2 linked regions of the Medicago truncatula genome follow. The main gene of each other region encodes a partner of the protein of the gene in region 2 in a complex. Links are inferred from orthologs where the notes say so. Each region holds a gene or a part of one and is shown on either strand. Other genes may lie near its edges.

The links.
Region 1: actin-related protein 2 (region 2) and actin-related protein 2/3 complex subunit 2A share a complex: the UniProt entries of both Arabidopsis thaliana proteins name them as parts of the arp2/3 complex. The link is inferred for Medicago truncatula from reciprocal best matches to the Arabidopsis thaliana genes ARP2 and DIS2.

What each region holds. Positions count from the first base shown.
Region 1 is NC_053049.1:32,346,388-32,356,573, reverse strand, and holds the start of actin-related protein 2/3 complex subunit 2A, read left to right. Parts: upstream 1-5,999; 5' UTR 6,000-6,020; coding exon 6,021-6,235; intron 6,236-6,327; coding exon 6,328-6,394; intron 6,395-7,032; coding exon 7,033-7,240; intron 7,241-8,579; coding exon 8,580-8,749; intron 8,750-10,186. Other genes in the region: membrane-bound transcription factor site-2 protease homolog, read right to left, coding at 229-376, 1,689-1,891, 1,973-2,224. UniProt on the Arabidopsis thaliana protein: Functions as actin-binding component of the Arp2/3 complex which is involved in regulation of actin polymerization and together with an activating nucleation-promoting factor (NPF) mediates the formation of branched actin networks.
Region 2 is NC_053048.1:9,627,791-9,637,571, reverse strand, and holds the start of actin-related protein 2, read left to right. Parts: upstream 1-5,764; 5' UTR 5,765-5,890; coding exon 5,891-5,932; intron 5,933-6,140; coding exon 6,141-6,251; intron 6,252-9,139; coding exon 9,140-9,274; intron 9,275-9,363; coding exon 9,364-9,435; intron 9,436-9,511; coding exon 9,512-9,590; intron 9,591-9,781. UniProt on the Arabidopsis thaliana protein: Functions as ATP-binding component of the Arp2/3 complex which is involved in regulation of actin polymerization and together with an activating nucleation-promoting factor (NPF) mediates the formation of branched actin networks.

The sequences.
Region 1 (10,186 bases), on a different chromosome or scaffold from region 2:
CGGATGGAAGTAGTTGTAAATTACTAAATTGTAATTGATAGGACACCTGTACAATTTACTAAATTGTGGTCAGACATTCAAGGTCAAATGATAGCTAGTTCCAAGACAGGATTACTGAAAATCACTGTGTGCGTGTGTGAAGGACTAAACACTAAAGGTTGTTGAGTAACATTAATGTATATATTCCACAGCAGTAGTGTCAATGGATTCTATTTCAATTCAACTTACAACTGCATTGTGCCAAATGCCTGCAGAATATATGCGGAGGGCAGTCAAATGTTCTGAAGCTTGCAGCAAATCATCATTGAAGGCAACCAGGGCACCAGGAAACAGAACTGCGATGAAGATGGCGATGTACTCTATTTGTATTCCCTCACTGCTTTCCATTGAAAAGGTGCAATAGCATAAGGCATGAGAATCTAGCTTTTGACATTTCAAGCAAAACTAAATTTGATATTCTTGGTATCTGCATAATCACAGAGTAAATAAAAGAACAATAAAAAGTCTACTGCTGAAATGATCATTGGAAATACACCCCTGTTGTTTTTAAATAACATGCTGCAATATTGATGTTGAAATATGTTTAAAAATGCTATGAGCCTGGGGCACCTAGAATCTACTCATAAAAGGAGAGAATAAAGGGATTCTATTTGTATTGATCCCTTATTTTTATCAAGGTACATATATGGGAGTATTTAATGCAACTCACTCAAATCCATGAAACTTGTTTCTCATAAGTTATGCTTATTTTCTCTATTAAGGTTTCTAATAGAGTTAGGAATGAGTCTCAGTTCGTTTAAACCCTATCCTCGACAGCTTCTGCGCAAGGAGCACATAAAAACAGCGGAGAGGAACAACTGCAGCAGTCATTCGAGTCTTCAGAAGTACCAACAGTAGCAAAAGAGGGGTCAGAGGAGGGTCGTGTGCTACTCAGGCACGAGATGGAAAAGGATGTGTCACGTGGGTGCCGGTGGGCTCACGTGCAGTCGAAAGAAACGGTGAAGAATGAAAAGTAAGACTTTTAGCAAACCAGGTCGTGAAATCTGACCTGGAACAGGTCTGACAAGTATTGCCATGGATCACCCAATCCCACGTTTTTACCATCATACTCACTTTCCCACCCTGGTGATCCCGACGACAACATTACTTGGTGAAAGAATATATAAATAGACATGCTTGGTGAGAGAACATGTCTTTCTTAGTGAATCTTACTTTTCAAACTCATGAAACTCTCCCCTAAACCTATGTTGAGTTCACCAATTTATTAGTAGTTTAGTAAATGTTAAAATTAAATGAATTTATTCCCACTTGTTCATCTACAACATGAATCTGCTTCAACTACAGATTAAATTATGGAAAAGGAATCCTATTGATGCGACATTCGGTAGGAAATTTATCAACAAAGAATGCATTCAGTATGAAGCATGTCTACTCACACATTCTCTCATAAAAAATAACCAATTCATCTGAATGGTTCTTCCAACAATAGTCTGTGATATCACTCAATTTTAATAAATGCAACCTACATAGCACCAACACTTCATGTCGAATGTGTGTCCAGTGTCCAACGCATGTGATTACATTCAATTACTTCCATTTTTTTTTTAAATTATTATCAGTATTAAAGTGTCAGTGTCGTGTTCAGTGTCAGTGCTGCATAGAACGCAACAAAGAATAAAAAAATAGACCTAGTAGCGGCGAGTGCATGACCAAATTCATGCACAAAAACAGACACAATAGTAGAAACACAAATACATCCAGCATCAGCAAGTGATAAGCTCAAACCCGACAACAAATTCGGAAACCCAAACAGCATTTCACTAGCAATACTTCGAACTTTATTACTTTCTCCACATATATTCAAAGCCGTTGCAACCTCCCAAACCAAAATCTAAAACAAAAAACAACAAATCAAATCAAATTGAATAAAAACAAAATAAATTACCAATTACAAACTGATAAAAATTGTTACCAGCGTAACAGCGAGCATAGCAGAAAGTGCGAAACCAAGGCCAATAGAAAACCAGAGTTTAAAAAAGTTGGCATGTTTGCGACCGAATGTGTAGAGAGGTTTATTGAAAGAGATGAATTTGTAATCGCAATAGAAGAAGGAAATAGTGTTGGAGAGATGAGAGGAGGAAGAAGAAGGAGCGTGAAGAGGGAGAAGAGTTCTGCTGTTGGGTTTTTGATGGCTCACGAATCTTCGCATTCGTCTCGTTTCCATCAGGTACAAAATTGTTGTTCCTCCACCACTACGGCGGCACTTTTATCGGTCAAGGGCAAAGTAGTCATTTCTTTTCAATAATTAAATTTATCAAAGCCTAACTGACGAATTATCTAAGATGCAAATTGCCTAAACGAAGTGATGGTGTTTTATTGATGTTGGTGATGTGAATATTAAGATGATGTTAAATTATTTATGGGAGTAAATGTTGATGATGAAATGATTTGTTTGTGTATGGATCATGCATTGTCGAGTTTACATTATCATCATTGTCATTCCTATTTAATGATGGATATTTGATGACGGGTGGATTAATTTGTAATATACCTCCAATTATTTAATGATGGTGGATCGCTCGGTGACATAACTCCGACCTCCAAAACTTGGTACCACATGCATGTAGAGTCAAACTAGAACATTGCATACATATGAACCTATGTGAGACGTGAATTGATTATGAGAATCTATGTGAAGATGTGTACATGACTATGTGTGTTCATGTGGCGTTTGATAAAAGTTCTTTAGATGTTAATTTTGATGCAACTTGTTAGCATATTAAATGATACTTTACTAATGTCAAGTTTTGTAAACATGATCTATATGATAATAATTAATAACTTTCAATACAACGATGAATCTTCTGATAATTATGCGTAAAAAAAATTCAAAAGTGTTGTATATTAAGTTTGACATCAAGAAGCCAATTATCCATATATGTAAATCAAAGATTTGTCATCTGCAAGTAAAATTGGTCTTCTTATATCAAATTAAAATTGAGAGGAAGTTTGTACCAAAAGAAAGTAAATAAGAGAGCTTATATCATTACTATGAAGTATCTTTAGCCTAGTATTTGATCTTCGTGCGCTGGTGACGAAAAAAACGTCGTGCTCTTTAGAGCTATCAAAATGGGTCGGGTCGAATGGGCCGGCCCAAAAGCCCGAATAAAACGTAGGACTTGGACCTAAAAATTGCAGCCCGAATAAATTCAGGATTTTTTAGCCCGGTCCGAAAAAGCTGGTTGCCCATTTAGGCTACGGGCAGCCTGGGAAAAAGAAAAAGTTAAACTATATGGGAGACTACAGAAGTTGCCATAGTGGACGTTAGAGCTTCAAATCCTGTTGTTTTGAAAATATCATTCAAAGATCAAGAAGTTAGAAATCATATTTATCATTCGCAGTGGAAAAAAGGCTTGCTTTTTCTTTCTTAAATTTATTCATGGTATTGATATTTATTGTTTTCTATTTTTATAGACATTAAATATTTAGTGTTAAGTCGTCAAAATATAAGATTTATCCTCTAAAAAAAAAATACAAGTTTTATTTTTCTTCTGTTATATGCTTTATTATTTCAACTCAACATCGCCAATTATGAGTTGTGAAAACAACTGCTGATCATAATACGATGAATATCTTCATCTGATATCTAAGTTTTTTTTGAGTGATTGAGTTTCATTAATTATATAGCTATGTTAATATGCTATGTGTGATTATAAACTGTGTAATTATGTGCATATAGCTATGCAATCTGATCATGTTTTTTTAACTTGTGCAAGTTCGGTTAGTAATTAGGATCATTAAAAGATTTTTTTTTTAAAAAATGTGCGTGCGGGCTGACCCGAGAACCCGTATAGGGCCGGGCTCGGGCTCTATTATTACAACCTGTATTTAAACCAGGATTTTTAACCCGACCCTAAAAATCCTGCAGTCCGTTCGGCCCGAAACGGCCGGGTAGCCCATTTTGACTCGTTGCTTAGTCATAAATTTGAATGGATGTCTTATAGTAGTTTATAATTAAAAAATATCTTTTGATAATTGTTATTTCTATTCAAGTTTATAGCGGTTTGTGATAAGTTAATTCAAATGACTTATAACTTAATAATAAACTACTATAGTTACCTCAATAATATGAAAAAACCAATAATTAACCACAATAATTAACCACTTGTTATCCAATAACTAATAACTATCAATGATTTCAATTTGTTACTAACAAAAATAACACAAATTTGATTTCAATTTGTTTCTAACAAAAATAACACAAATTTATATATATATATATATATATATATATATATATGTAGTAGATTACATATTTTACCCTTAAGCACTTGTAAAAAACAACTGTAAAATTTTAGTGGGTTATGGGCAGTTTAAACTTTTAGCAAGACATTTGTTTTTATATATAGATTTATAGAGTAGATTAAGTGTTAAAAATAATAAAATTTTAAATCATAAAAATTATATTAAATCTATCTAGTTATATAAAAAATAAAAGATAAGTCTTTGTTCACGACAAAATAAATCTATCTAGTTATATAAAAAATAAATTACGAAAATAAAAATACAAAAGCACTGCAAAAACAAACAAAAACAGGTAAATAATAGCACACTAAGTTTTTCTTCACTTTTAAAGGATTTTACTCGGATCAAAATCTATGACCGTTAAATTTTTTATCGACTGTTGTCATTACTGTTTACATTTGGACGTGGATCGCAATCTTATACTATCCAAATTGCTTGTTATCGACGACTGAGAAGACTTCTCATTTTACGCACGCGCGAGTATCAATTATTTCACACAAAAACATAACTAACATTGAAGCCACATGCTCTTCAACCGGAATAGCATGCCAGACAATTGAAAACAATAACAAGAAGAATTTCAACGATGTGAGTTGTTCATTTATGTTATAAAACCTTTTTTAAATATTTATCATATTGTTTTATTTGATATTATTTACATTTACGACGCAACTTCAAACCTGCAAATGACTTGCAAGGTTATTCAAAAATACTAATTGAGTGATGACTTTTCTATTATAAGATTGATGCAAGAGTTGAATTACACCAAATACTTGAAAAATGTGGCTCTACCGTTTATCGGTTTTCTACTCCTCAATTATGAATGTTCAAGGATGTGGCTGGAACTGTTGTGCTAATAATTTTGAAGGTAAAGTTTGAACAAAAGTTGGGTATGTTTTGTAACATGTCAAACTTGCAGCAAGTCCATAAACATTCCACTAGCATGTATGTTTGTGATTTTTTTTATAAACATTTATCTTATTATCTTGTTTGATATTATTTACTAATGGTGCTGCTTCAAACCTGGAAAGGTTATACAAAAATACCACTTGAGTGATTTCATTTCTATTATAAGAATCATGTGTAAAGAGTTGAACTAGATCGTAATTTTTGACGAGGGACAGATTTATTATGAATTTTTATTTCCTTATGAATTTTTTATAATTAATTCGTATCTCGTTTAAAAACTCTAAAAATTCACGAGGAAAGTTCTTATGATGTTATATACATGCTTAGAAAATTAGAGAAAGAAATTTGACCCGTGAGTATACATTTACTCATAACAAAATTGCAATTTCGCACGTTTTGGTTGAAAAATAAAAAAATTAAACATCTTTGAAATGCTACAAAATTTTGCAAATTCTTTTTATGTATTTCTTTAGATGTCTCTGCAAACAATCAATTTAAAATTCAATTTTTAGGTCGGAGTTTTCATCATTTTGTTCTTTGAGTTTTTGACGCTTTATAAATTCATAATTAATTTGTCATTAGTTGAAAAATTCTAAATTTTTGTGTAATGCATATTTCTTTGTTGTAAACATGCCTACAAAAATTATGAAAAAATTCAACCTCTGAGTAGCATTTTTGGACTTCACATATAGTACGTGGTGAATTTCAATAATTAATCTTATTAATAATAAATATAATAATAAAAAATAGAATGAAAAGAAACAAAATATGGTGATGTGATTATTATGATTGAGAAAAATGAATGAATGAAAATCTGTAAGTGGAAGAAAAGAATCGGTCTGGATCTGAGTGAGTGTAATAATACACATAATCATAATCATCATCATCATCAAAAACTGTTGAAACGAAACACGAGAAGAGAAGAGAAGAGAAGAAAGCGGAAAGGGTCAGGATCATCGATGATACTCCTCCAGTCCCATTCTAGATTTCTGCTTCAGACTCTTTTGAATCGCCTTCAAAAGTTAGTTACTAAAACGCATGCGTTTTCATTTCGCTACTCCTTCATTTCAACTGCGTTAATATCTTCTGTTTCTGTTTCTGTTTCTGTTTCAGTATCGAAAAAGGTGTTGAACTCGATCACCACTGGGTTGAATTTGACGATGTCAGATATCACATTCAGGTACTAACAATGTTTGTTAACACGATTATTATTACTATTATCATAAACGCCGTATAGTCAATGTTGTTGAACACCTGCTACACTTATCATGATAAGCGCTTATTTATGTTTATGATATGAACTTGTTTCCATAAACAATTTATTTTGAAGCTTATATAACAAACACTTATAAGCTCTTTCTATAATAGAAGATAAAATTAAGTTAGTTATATTGTTTTAGTATAAACTGTAAGTTGTTTTCATAAGCTATCTTGGAGACAACAGCTTATGAACATGTCACGAGTTTGTTTCCCTTAGTTCTCCTAAATGCATATACTAGTAGATAAACTCAAACAAGTCGATTCAAACATATCATAAATAGTCTATCTCATTAAATAGCGATTTGTTCAAATCCCATTAAGCTCCCTTTTTGAAATGAAAACAGCTTATGGACTTGTCAAAAATTGTTTCCATAAACTCTACCAAACAGTCTCACAATTGAAACATGCCCAAAATGTTGTCAAATAGAGGCGCTATAGAGGAATTTGAATAAACCCCTATTTTATGCGATCCACGATTGACAAACACTGAGTAATGTAGATAATTTGAGTTTGACACTTTTGGGTTGCATATTTGATCAAGCTAAAAAATAATTGTAGGTGTCAATGAAGAATCCTAATATTTTCTTGCTATCTGTATCGTTGCCTACTCCATCTTCGGAAACTATTTTTGTATGTGGACTTCCTTTTGGAGCCATTGAAGCAATCAAAGCTGCATATGGCAGTCTTGTGCAAATTCTTGATCCTCCAAGGGATGGCTTTAACCTCACATTGAAGATAAATCTCTCAAAGGTTCCTGCAAATCAAGGTATATCAGGGTTTTTAGTATAGGATGTTACCGTAACTTTGAATTTCCCTTGCTATGAAAAGTTTTTTCGTCTTTAGCTGAACTTATAGCTTCTGTATTTTCTAATGCATTAAAACTACCGATTAGTAATGCATTTTCATTGCTACAGTATATTCTTTCCACTGTTTTGGTTTCAGGGATTTACATTTGCTATAGATATTAGATAGTATTTCAATATAAATTGATAATTGAAGCACTAAGTTGATATTCTCAATTTTGCATATATGATTTACATGTGCTTTGGATTGTCAATATCTGAGCTTTTTTCTGTTTTAGTTCATAGTAATATTATTTGATGTGTAACCCAGAGATGGATAATGGTTCTTAATTGAAATTGCAGTAGAGATTAATAACTATGTTCAAGTTTCTGTAGTTTCGTTTACATGAAATAAAAGATAGCATTTTTATTCTCAATCAATTTAACTTTTTATCTCTCCAGAGTTTTCTTAACGTTTCTCAGTAAGTAGACCATTTTCCACTTGGTTTGCCTCTTAGTCCCATGGTTCTGCATCTGGTCCAGTAGAACTTCTATTTGAACCAACCACCATTAAAGGAGTCATTGGTCAGTTGAGAAATTGAAAGTCAGCAAATTTCTCATGCCCTACAATGCACCAATTCCTCTGTTGGCATTTGGTGTTCTTGCGTCGCTTGCCTTGAACCCATTCACCGTGAAACCAGTATCATTCTACATGATGGATTGTCCTGCTTTCGTTCCAGCAGTCATCTGTCTCCATCTCCCATTCCTTTTAAGGCATTTGTTCTCTCAGTGAATGCCCTGGTTTATTAAGATGGATTTTGAACCTACTTCCCAAAATTCTTTGAGAAGTCAGAAACCTACATACGGTTTTTCTTTCTCTATTTGTGGAACCCTAACTACTGTAGAAAAGCCAAATGGAAATAACTATTTAGCTTGCTCTTCTTCCCTGTAACTCTGGTTTCTTGGCCAAGGTTTCTATGATTACTCGGAGAGAAAAATCTTAATGAGACTTTTGTTGAAAATCATAGTTTGTGGGATAAACTTGTTTATGAACTCTGTGCTTTGTGTGATGATCTCTTGAACCAAATATTTTTGGCAAATTTCAAAACTTTTAATACTTATCATACTTTTTTTCAAGAAGACTCGACATGTTTTGCTAATAAATCTAAATGCCCAAATTTTTCTTTTCTTCTGGAAACTGTGTTTTTTCATTCTGGTTCGTCACTCCATCTTTGGTTTTATTTAAGAAAGAGAAATTTATAAGTTAAATTATTTTGTTGTTGATGCTGTTCTTTGACAATTGGCGATGTTGATCTTGTGCAGAGCAAAGACAAGCACTTTTGGTAAAAGTAGCATCAGTAAGGGAGGTCGTCCTTGGTGCACCACTAAGGGTAATTTTAAAACACCTTGCTTCTAGAAATGTTGCTCCGGATATGGATCCACTTGTTGCTCTTGTTCATCGACCAAAGGAGTCTTTTTTTGTTTTTCCTCAGGTATGATAGTTGAATATGCAACTTTCTGTTACTGAAACCTTCATCCTTGCTTGGGGTATTTTATTCATATTGTTTTTTGTACTCAAAGAAGTAGTTCAGTAATCCATAACAATCCTAGATGCATGGGTGACTTCCTTTTAGCTTTAATATTGTTCCTTGTCAACTTTTATTTATACAAAATATAAGGGAACTTTAATAACAGAGAGGAGGTTCTATAGAAAAAACAGAATCTAAGAAAGAAAGAGATACCGGAGAGAGAAGTTAATGGAGTTTACAGAAAACCCTGCTGGACAGACCGGTTATGAACATTAACATCGTAACTGAATGGGAAAAACACATTTTTATTACAAAAAATGTTCCCAGGCCTTTAGTACCAAAAGCTCAAACCGTGGGCGTACCGGTTATGGGTGTAAGGATAGGAGAGCTGGAAAAATGGCTGAGAACAGTTAGGTAGTTTGTTTGCTAGATATCCTTCATCTATTGTATTATTCTTTGTTCTCCTGGAAGTTGCATATAAGGATTACTTTAGCCATATCTCTTGATGTGAGATCTCAACACACCCACCTTATGCCCAACATTGGACATTTGGAGTGAAGCTTGTAGGATTATACATTTGCAGGTGACCAATAATAGATTTGGAGGTGCAATTGTTCATAGTTTGGAAAATTAGGAATAATACAGTGGAATCTTATTTCTGGGTATTTTATAAAAAATGTGTTTGGTTTAAATCTTACATTACTTGGAATTTTTGTAAGAGTTGGATATGTTGACATCAAGTTTACTCCCATCTTCATGGGAACTTTGGGAATAGAAGCATAGGAAAGTGTGGTAGTCATTTTATTCCTCAGAATGTTTTATAGCTGGGAATAAGTATTATAACTTTGTAACAAACAGTGGAATCTATATTTCTAACTTCCACATTTCCAGGAATAAATTTCACAACCATGAAACAAACACCCCCACGATAGATTGTCCACTATCTAGGATTTGGGCTAGGTCTAACTCAATTTCAAAAAAGCTAGCCTCTGTTTTTTTGTCCTAGTCATGCTCTTATTGTGCTTCCCAAATCCTGGTAAGTGACGTGGCAAACTTTTCTCAAAGTTTGCAGGACATAACCAACTTATAGAACTTAAATTAATGAAACATTTCAGCCTATAACCTTATAATAAGTAACAAAAGATTTTGCAATGGACATGTGCTTTACATCAAATAGAATAAAATGCCTAATCTTACCCCACATGGGCTGTTATGCCAAAGAAACCTCAATCAACTAAGCATGTAGTATACAAATTAAGAAAGACAGGTCTATTTATGTAGTCTCTAAACCTGCGACAATAGATGCTTTTCGTTGGGAAATAAAGAGAAGTGGAAAATAACAAAACAAAGAATTCTTTTAATTGAAATTGTACAAATTTTGTTCGCTTGTTTTGATTCTAT
Region 2 (9,781 bases):
TTAATGCAAAATTTAGCAATTCTCCATGTATCTCAAGTCAACAAAATGTCTCATCCTTTGAAAATGCATCCAATGTCCTAAATACACAAAATAATCAAGACTTTGAAATTACCCATATCATACATCACCTTATCCCATCAAGAATTTTCTTCTAAATCAAATAATCTCAATATGCCTCATGTGATTCAAATGGGTAGTGGTGGTGTGCAATTAAAAGATCAAGAGCTTGAAATACCACATGTTTGCACTCAAGGTGGCTTTGAAACTATTAACCTTAATAAAGAAATTGAAACTATATCGATTGTGAATAATTCGAAAGTAAGATTTCAACGAAAGGAGGATGGACTTCCCATTCAATTATGACTCAATATTTCAAAGGATCCGAATGTTAAAAATGATCAAAAAGGACAGTTTTTGGAAGAGAATTGATGAAGCTTATAATAACCATCACGACAAGAATTTTCAAGATAGGAAACCAATGAAGCTAAAAGGTTGATGGCACAAAAAGATTAATCCCTCTGTTCAAAAGTTTGTTGGATGCTACAAAGATGTTGTCGCTATAAAAAAAGCGGTAGCTGCAAGATCGACACAATTTCAGCTGCAAATGTTTTTTGTTTGACTTATATTGAAAAAAGAATTCTATATTTACAATACATGAAAAAATATTGCAAAACTACCCTACTTTTTATCTTTTCCATTGTTCCCCGCTAACCTCGCTTGAGTGGTATATTTCCCAGTTGTTTTCACTTGTGGGTATAGCACAACAAGCCTGAAATTTGTTTTTTTTTCTTCTATTTATGGGCCCCTACAAAACTTACTTGCAGGGTGTAGAAGGTTGTTTTTCTTATTTGATCTACTATTGATACTTTCAACAGTGTCACATATTCCGTGTACTACATCCTAATTCATGACAAGTGAGTTTCTAATATCTTCAAGAGGGATGATATATATACCACCCCATGTGACAATACACCTTTTACATCCACACAAAATTCTGACATGCGGCAACTTAAACCCCACACAAATAGAAGATAAAATGTGGTTGTGAGATGAACTTACCAAAATATCTCTAATGCATGGGTGTACAATAGGATATAGGAATAAAGGGTGTTCATGTAACATTTTCCTATCTCCAAATTCAACATAATTACACTGTTCGAAATAACAATTCTTCACACTCTAATAGTAATATCACACTACAGTATCAAACTCTAATAACTCTAAAAAACACACTACAATTTCAAACTCTAATAACTCAATTTAATAACTCGTAACATTAAACTCACAATCGACATATTAATTTATCTATCAACCTTTCACCTGAAAATTTATGCATAAATACCACTTTTTTACTCACAATATTCACTTAAGTTACCGCTCTCAAACTCTTATTTTTACACTCAATATTCTCATATTACCCGTCTTCTCAATTATTTCTTAAACAATGAATTATTTATGGTTAGGAGATAATCATAGGTCTAGGCCACAACACCTTAGATAATGGGTAAAATTATATTTTTAAATCTCTTTTATTTTGTTTTTTATTGTTTTAATAATTTTTTCTATTCTCTTATTTTTTTTAAATTTCGTTTTTGATATTATGTTGCTTATTAAATTCAGTTTTATATTCGGTTAATAATTATGTAATATTTTTTTTATTATGTTTATTTTAACCTTTTTCTTATATGCTCCCTCCGTTTTTGTTATTTTGATGTTTTAGAACTTCAACTATATTCCAAAATATTTAATGTTTTAGTATATGTAATATTTTTTTTTCAAATTTACCCTTGTTGAAAAAGACACCATAAAATTATTAAAGGAGTTGTGACCTTTGATTTATCACATGTGAATTTAATTATAATAAGGACATTTTAGTCCAAAACATACAAATATTTATGTACTTTAATTACTTCTTAAGATTTGTACCAAGAGCTAAAACATCAAAAGATAAAAAATAGAGGGAGTATCTCTTTATTTATTTTTATTAGGATGAAAGCAACAAACATTTCAACTTCTCATCTACAAAAACACAAAGAACCAGTCTACTAATTTTAGGGTGTGTTTGGCCCAGTTTTTTGAAAGTCTAGAAGCTACTTTAAAACTAAAGTTGCTAAAAAAACTTTATAAATTAAGTTAAAGTTGATTGGTAGTATCTATTTGACAAAATTATACAATTTATCTTTTAATTTAATTTCAGTTAACATTTTTGTCCCTTAATTTTTTTATTTAATCATTTATGTTATAAAATATCAACATCACGATCCTTCCTTTATTAAAAAGATTAAAACTAAAAAAAAAAAATCATAAGCAAACTCATATCTTCATCACACAAACCTATAAATCTAGATTTCATTGAAAAATCCTTATAATGAAAAATCAAAGAAAAAAAGAATGAAAAAAGATGAAAATATGTTTATATTGTTGGAATGCTGAGTTGATTATAATGAGAGAATATTTTTTAGGAATTCTAGTTTTCTTTTTGTAAAAAAAGTATAACGATATTGATTTTATAACATTAGGGAAATGAACTGATATATAAAATAAAATTTGCTTGAATAATAGATAAATTGAAGTAAACTTGGACCGTCATAATATTCCTCAAGGCTTAGAAGCCCTCTAGAAGGACTCAAACGCCCTCCGGACGGGCCCAAAGACCCTCCAGAAGGCTCCTTGGGCTTAGGCGCGTCCTCCTGAAGGATGCCGCCTTCTTCAGCTTCTAGAAACCACCCAAAGTACCTAAATACCCATGTTGCTTGGAAACCAAGCAACAAGAGCCCAAGCCCACAGCATGCTATAAATACCACTCTTGAGATCATTCTCAAGGATCGGATAATCAGTCTAAACCCTAGTTTACGATTCTTAACCCTAGAATCTCTTATTGTGCTTTTTGCAAGTACAAAACTATCCCGCAAAAAAAATTGAATAAACTGGGTGATATGTGAGTAATACATATGTAGGGAATTATTAGTAAAATAATAATACAAAATTGTCTTTACCAGGGTTCGAAGATGGAAGCACATGTAAATGAAGCGCATAAGTTGATACAAAGTTCCTTTCAATTCCTTTAATTGAAGCTCCTATAATTAAATTTTTCTTCTTTGAAAATAATTTACTTGTTTTAGGAAGAGCTTCTCCCAAATGTTGTTTGCCCCTACTTCTTCTTTAAAGTAGAAGGGAAGTCAAGAAAAGGCAGGCCAAACAGACTCTTAGACCAAGCAGGTTTTCTCCATGTTAGCAACATAAAAGAGTACAAAATGGATAGACATATCCTAAATGCTCTAGTTGAAAGATGGAGACCCGAAACACACACGTTTCATTTTCCAACGGGTGAATGCACCATCACCTTGGAAGATGTATTCATGTTACTTGGTCTAAATGTTAGTGGATATGTCGTTACAGGTGTAAAATCAATTGAGAGGCCACTGTATGATGATTTTTTGGGATTAAAATTCCATTGCGAAATAAAAAAGAGGGTAAACATGCTATATCAATGTCACATTTAGCACAAAATCTCAATAAAGACCTCATTGCCGATGTGTTGGATAAAATAAAAATACAAGTTACTAGGCGGTATATTCTATGGCTAATCAATGGTTTTTTATTTTCAAATTTATCTGGAATAATGTACATAATTGTTGGTTGGCCATGGTAGTTGATTTTAATGATACAAAACAATATAGATGGGGATTAGTCGTTTTGGCCTATCTTTATCGGGGAATGTGTGAAGCAACAAACCCTAAATTTGTATGCTTAGCTGGCTGTAATTTTCTCCTGCAAGTTTGGGGATATTCAAGGTTGGATTATTTGGCTCCCAAAAACATAAAAGAACTTAGTTTTCCATTTGGAACAAAGTGAGTATATTGTTATTATGTTTTTAGTAGTATTTGTTCACATTTGAGAATGCATAGAGATTACTAAAAGATGAACCCAAGTACATATTTGTCATCTTCTAACCCACAGACACCAACAAGCGAATACAATCCACCATCACGTGAAATTGGTCAAAAATCAGCCAAAAGGAAGGAAAATGAAAAGATTGTGCATATATCTATTCCTAAATTTGATGCTTTGAAAAATGACTTGAACAAAAAATTTGAATTAATGTCAAGGTTTGCGCGTGATTTTGCACGTACTGAGAGTGAAAAAGTTGAGAGAGAGATGAAAATGGTTGATGTAGAGCTACACAAGACTGAGAATGATAGGGAAATGATGAAGATCATGATTTAACAATACTCTAAAAGGATGTATCAAATAGGAATACAAGGTAATTACAAGATTATGAATTTTTGTGTGGCATGATTAGACATAAATATGAACTTAATTGATATTATTATTTATGTTAGACTTAATCGATTAGAGGGATATTATAATTTTTAGTATATGATTAGCAATTTCTATGTATGTTGTACTTAATTATTATTTATGTTTTATTAATTTATATTTTTATAGTTTTAGTATATGAAATATAAAAAAAGCTTCAAGAAATATGAGCAGCATATTGCAGTCAATGTGTAAGACTAATTATAGTATACGCAGGAACGAAATAAAATGAAATATTGCAACCAATTAAAGTATAAACCATATTATAGTATTTGAGACGTGTATTGTATATAAACCCTATTACACTATTTAAAATCATGAATTTTAGTTGAACTAGCTGTTATTCAAACTCAATTTTAGTCAAACTAGCAGTTACAAACTAACCGTTACTCAAAATAGCCGTTATTCAAACTAGCAGTTATTCATATCCCTATACATGTTATAACATATATAACAAACTTCACAATCGTTTCCAATTTCATTCCCTTAAAAAAAACATTTTCAACTTCTCTCTTTATTCACATTCAATATCAAACTTCTCTTCATATGGATCCTTCCAATCCATCCCATGTTGCAAAAATATTCATGGATTATATGAATGACAACATGGATGAAGACCTTGTGAGGATTTACTTTGAAAGTAATACACAAGAAGAGTTTGTGAGCTCAAGTAGGTCCAGACGCCAAAGAAGAAACATAGAAATCATGAAGAAGGACATGAACAGTTATTCAATGATTATTTTTTAGAAGCTCTAGTTTACACGGATGAGCAATTTCGTCGAAGGTACCGAATGCGTAAACATGTTTTCCTTCACATAGTTGAAACTCTTGATCAACATGATGAGTATTTTCAGCTGAGGGTTGACGCACCGGGTAGATCAAATATTTCACCCATAAAAAAATGCACTGATGTTATTTGTATGTTGGCAGATGAAACATCTGCTGATAGTGTGGATGACTATTTGAGAAATGGTGAAACCACGACACGAAAATGTGCTGATAAGTTTACAAGGGGAAAACCGTCTCAATGCTGCAAAGAGAAAAGAGAATATTGTTTGCCCAATATCAAGAAGGCTCAAGGAAGGATATCTACACAGACTCACCATTGGATTAGAACAATTAAGTTTGAATCTGATAAAAAAACTAGGCAGGAGACAAGGGCATAGTGAGAGTAACATCCAAAAATTGCTTCTCTTCCCTCTTTCTTCGCACATGAACGAAGTAGAAAAAATAGGTGGGACCCATAGTACTTTTATCTCTCTCCCTAATTTCTCTTTTGCACCAAATGAGAGAAAAATCATTCTTCTCTCCTTATTCTCTCTTGCCTATTTCATACCTACCAAACAGACCATTACTGTTTCATGTTTTTGCAGTATTAAACCTTCAAAAAAAAAAAAAAAAGTTTTTGCAGTATTAAGAAATGAAACGACAAAGTAGTGAAGTCGTTTAATCAACTTCCACTGACTAGACATTCTAACAAAGAGTCCCCACCCACCCCCCAACCGTGCTTGCTGCTCACATCTCCGCGCGAACTCAAACTGAAACCCAATTCTACCGATCGCACCTCATCATGGACAGCAAAAACGTCGTCGTTTGCGACAACGGAACCGGAGTACCTCTCTCTCTCTCTCTCTCTTCAATCTCTTCATTCATTTCAAAATCAAACTACATTTCAATGGATCCAATAAATTACCGATCTCAAATTAGCATCAAACTTTATACATTTCATTATTTAACACTTTATGTTTCTTCTACTTATAATGTAATTGTTTTATTTATTTAATTCATCATTTATTTTGTGTTTCTATTTAAAATTTCAGTATGTGAAGTGTGGTTTTGCTGGTGAGAATTTCCCGACTTCTGTTTTTCCTTGTGTGGTGGGGAGGCCAATGCTCCGATACGAAGAATCGCTTACCGAGCAAGAGCTAAAGGTATGCAAAACATGATTACTAAGTTTTTTCAATTATGATATGTATGTAACTTGTTTGATCTATGAGATCAAATGTGGTTGTTATTATTATTATTATGAATTTCAATGTTCTTAGTTATTAGTGATTTTCCATTCCTAGTTGTTGAGAGTCACACATTGATTAGAGGTAGTGGTTATAAACCATTTTTGTGGGATGAGTTAGACACTATTTGGATTGACTTATTTGAGCTTATCTACTGATATAAGTTTTCTGAGACTGTTTGGGAGAATTTACGAAGGAGACTGTAGATACTGTAGTTACAAGAGTAGATCAGAAGAGGTTGAGGAAGACCTAGGAAAACTATAAGAGAAACTTTTAGGAAAAATTTAGAGGTTAATGAGTTGGATCCAAATATGGTTTATGATACAACATTATGGCGTAATTTGATCCATGTAGCTGACCCCACTTAGTGGGATAAGGCTTCGTTGTTGTTGTTGTTTGGGAAAATTTATGAAAACAACTTATGACAATTTTCCCAAGTTCTCATATGTTGCTTATTAAAACAACTTATAGCATATAAAAAAGAATTTAACATCATTTTATTTTTTTCTATAAAAGTAGCTTATGCAAGCTTATACATAAGCGATTATCATGATAAATGTTTGCGCTATAAGCTGCAAATAAGCTGTTTATCCAAACAGGCCCTAAGCCTAAACTGTAAGATGATATAAGAGCTTATTCCAGATTTGTTGTTGGTCCAAGATCTCTGTATAGAAGAAGATTATTATTTTTATTGAATAACAATAGAATGACAATAAAATAAAAAAGATTTATTTTTATTCATAATAGGATCCCAACAAAAGCGAACCTCGCACATAGGCAAGTTTTACCACCGGAGAGCTCTTTACACTGTGTGATGGGGTGCTAGAGTCGGCCAGCCATTTGTTCCTACATTGTTCTTTTGCGATGAAAGTGTGGGATGAAGTTAAGAGATGGCTGGGTTTTCATTATGCGACTCCACCTAATTTATTCTTTCTTTGGGATTGTTGGGATAGAGTTTCGACCAACAAAAATATCCGGAAAGGTTTGAGGATGATTTGACATGCGGGGGTGTGGAGTATTTGGAGGGCCCGAAACGACATAATTTTCAACAACTCGATTGGTGAAGTGGAGGAGGTAATGAAGGATGTAAAGGTTCTGTCGTGGAGATGGTGTTTAAGTCGGTTGCAAGGGCCGGCGTGGTTGTTCTATGAGTGGCACTGGAATCCAAAAGCATGTCTGCTGCGTTAGGGGCGCTGTGTTTTCGAGGCTGAGGCTGTGGTATGCGGTGCCTGCGGTTAGGTTGCTGTCAGTAATGGATATAACAGCATAAGCTTTGTTGGGATGCAGCATGTTTTCGGCTGCTGTCATTTGTTTTAGCAAGACTAGGTTTTTTGGGCTGATATTGGTGCTGTGTTTTTGGGGTTTTCCGGTATGTCGGTGACCTTGTATTATTGTTTTTCTGTCCGCGAGTTTGTTGTGCATCTTGTACACTCTCGACGTGAATAAATTTTGCTGATTCTAAATAAAAAAAACTCGTAGGGTGTGAAGTAGGAGGAAGAGTAACTTATACCATCAATGACAATGTTAAAGAGTGAGAAGAAGAATCACAGAGAGAGAATTGGGATAGAAAAGGAGTGAATTCACTTCATAAATCATCCATTCCTTGGTTTCACATTCCCCTCTCAATTCAAACAATCTCTCAGCCATGAGTTTAGCTTTGCCTTTGCCCACCTCTCACCTCCTAATTTTCATGACTTCCTCTAGCCTAATTTTGATTCCTTGTAATTGCCTTGCTGTCGATTTCCTTCAGCTATCGATCCACCATTCTCTAATCGACTTGCCTTTGCTGGCAGTTTCATTGCACTATGTTATTCTACGTGCATTTGTCCACATTTCAAATGTCGGTTTTTGGGGTTTAGTTAAATCCTAATTTCAAATTCTAAGATGATATTAGAGTCTAATTCATATCTTTTATTAGGCCAAGAATTTTCCACTTGCACACAGTATTGTTAAATGGCAGCATGGCGGAATGGCGTGGTGGAATTTTTGAAAACTGCCATGGATAGTTTGCGCAGGAATGCCCACCACAGGCCAACTGCTTGCTTATGTGGCGAACTTTTGGCCTTTCGTTTATTCCATTATCCGCCATCGAAAACACTGCCTGCAATTTTCCATGCTCCAAATGTCGATTTGTGGGCGTGAGAATGTAATAGAAATCTACAAGTGGAAATGAACAATGGGAAAGTATTTGAAGGGAATTGATTGTATTTTATTGATTGAAATGATGAACTCAGTTAAAAATAAGTATCCCTAAACTGCCAAGAGCAATGCTCCTTACAGAGTGATTCTCTCTGTCCAATATAAAATGTAACTCATTCTTTCGATACCCTTCTTACTCCCTACTGCTCCCATGTATTCGGAACTACCAGCACCTCATGCTCATGCGCTTGACAATTCTGTTACACAAGTTTCCAGCTCAGCTTTTCCATTTTCTCTCTTATTCTTCCTCTAATAGACCCTCCACACAGTCGGCCTCACATTTGGGCCTGCAGATAAATGCACTTCCGTATCAGAACGTATCCCCATTATTCCACCCACAGTAATCCACACTTTAGAATTCAAATGTCCATTTCTAAACTTAAGGGAGTGTGTTGAAAATATCGCCTATAGATATGTCCTAGGTAGTGTTTATAATGCTTTGCTTAGGTTGTTTTTGTCTTACTAGTCAGTTTTGCATTGTTGAATTAGGCCTTAAGCCTAGACATCATAAACAATTACATATACACTTAATTACCCGTTTTTAAGATGTTGCTCGGGTCTCTGTGAGATTTATTATTTATTTACTATTTAAATTATGTTCTATTTAGGATATTGTTGTTGGCGAAGGATGTGCAGACCTGCGGCATCAGCTTGATATATCTTATCCTGTGAACAATGGAATCGTCCAAAACTGGGATGACATGTGTCATGTGTGGGATCATGCATTTTACAACGAATTAAAAGTAACCTTCTGGTGCTTCTTTCTCATTGCTCTTTCAACTGTGAATATTTGATTTCGTAGCTAACTCTGGTACACGATTTTTCTTGACAGATTAACCCACAAGACTGTAAGATTCTACTCACTGATCCGCCTCTTAATCCCTCAAAGAATCGCGAAAAAATGGTTTGTGGGCCAATCTTGTTACCTTTTGCTAATTTGTTTTTTGCATAGTAATTGTTTATGTGATTTGACCTGGCAGGTGGAGACAATGTTTGAGAAGTACAACTTTGCTGGAGTGTTTATCCAAATCCAAGCTGTTCTAACATTATATGCTCAAGGTGCTTATAGAGATGAGTGAAGGTTGATGTTTTGTTGTTTATTCACCTCATCCTAATTAGTTTACACCTCATAATTGCTATTACTCATTCTTGGAAACTACAAACTCTAATTATAACGTATTTACAAACCTTTGATATTTTATAATGCATTATGATTTTGTTTTATAAACCATATGCAGCAATGTTATATA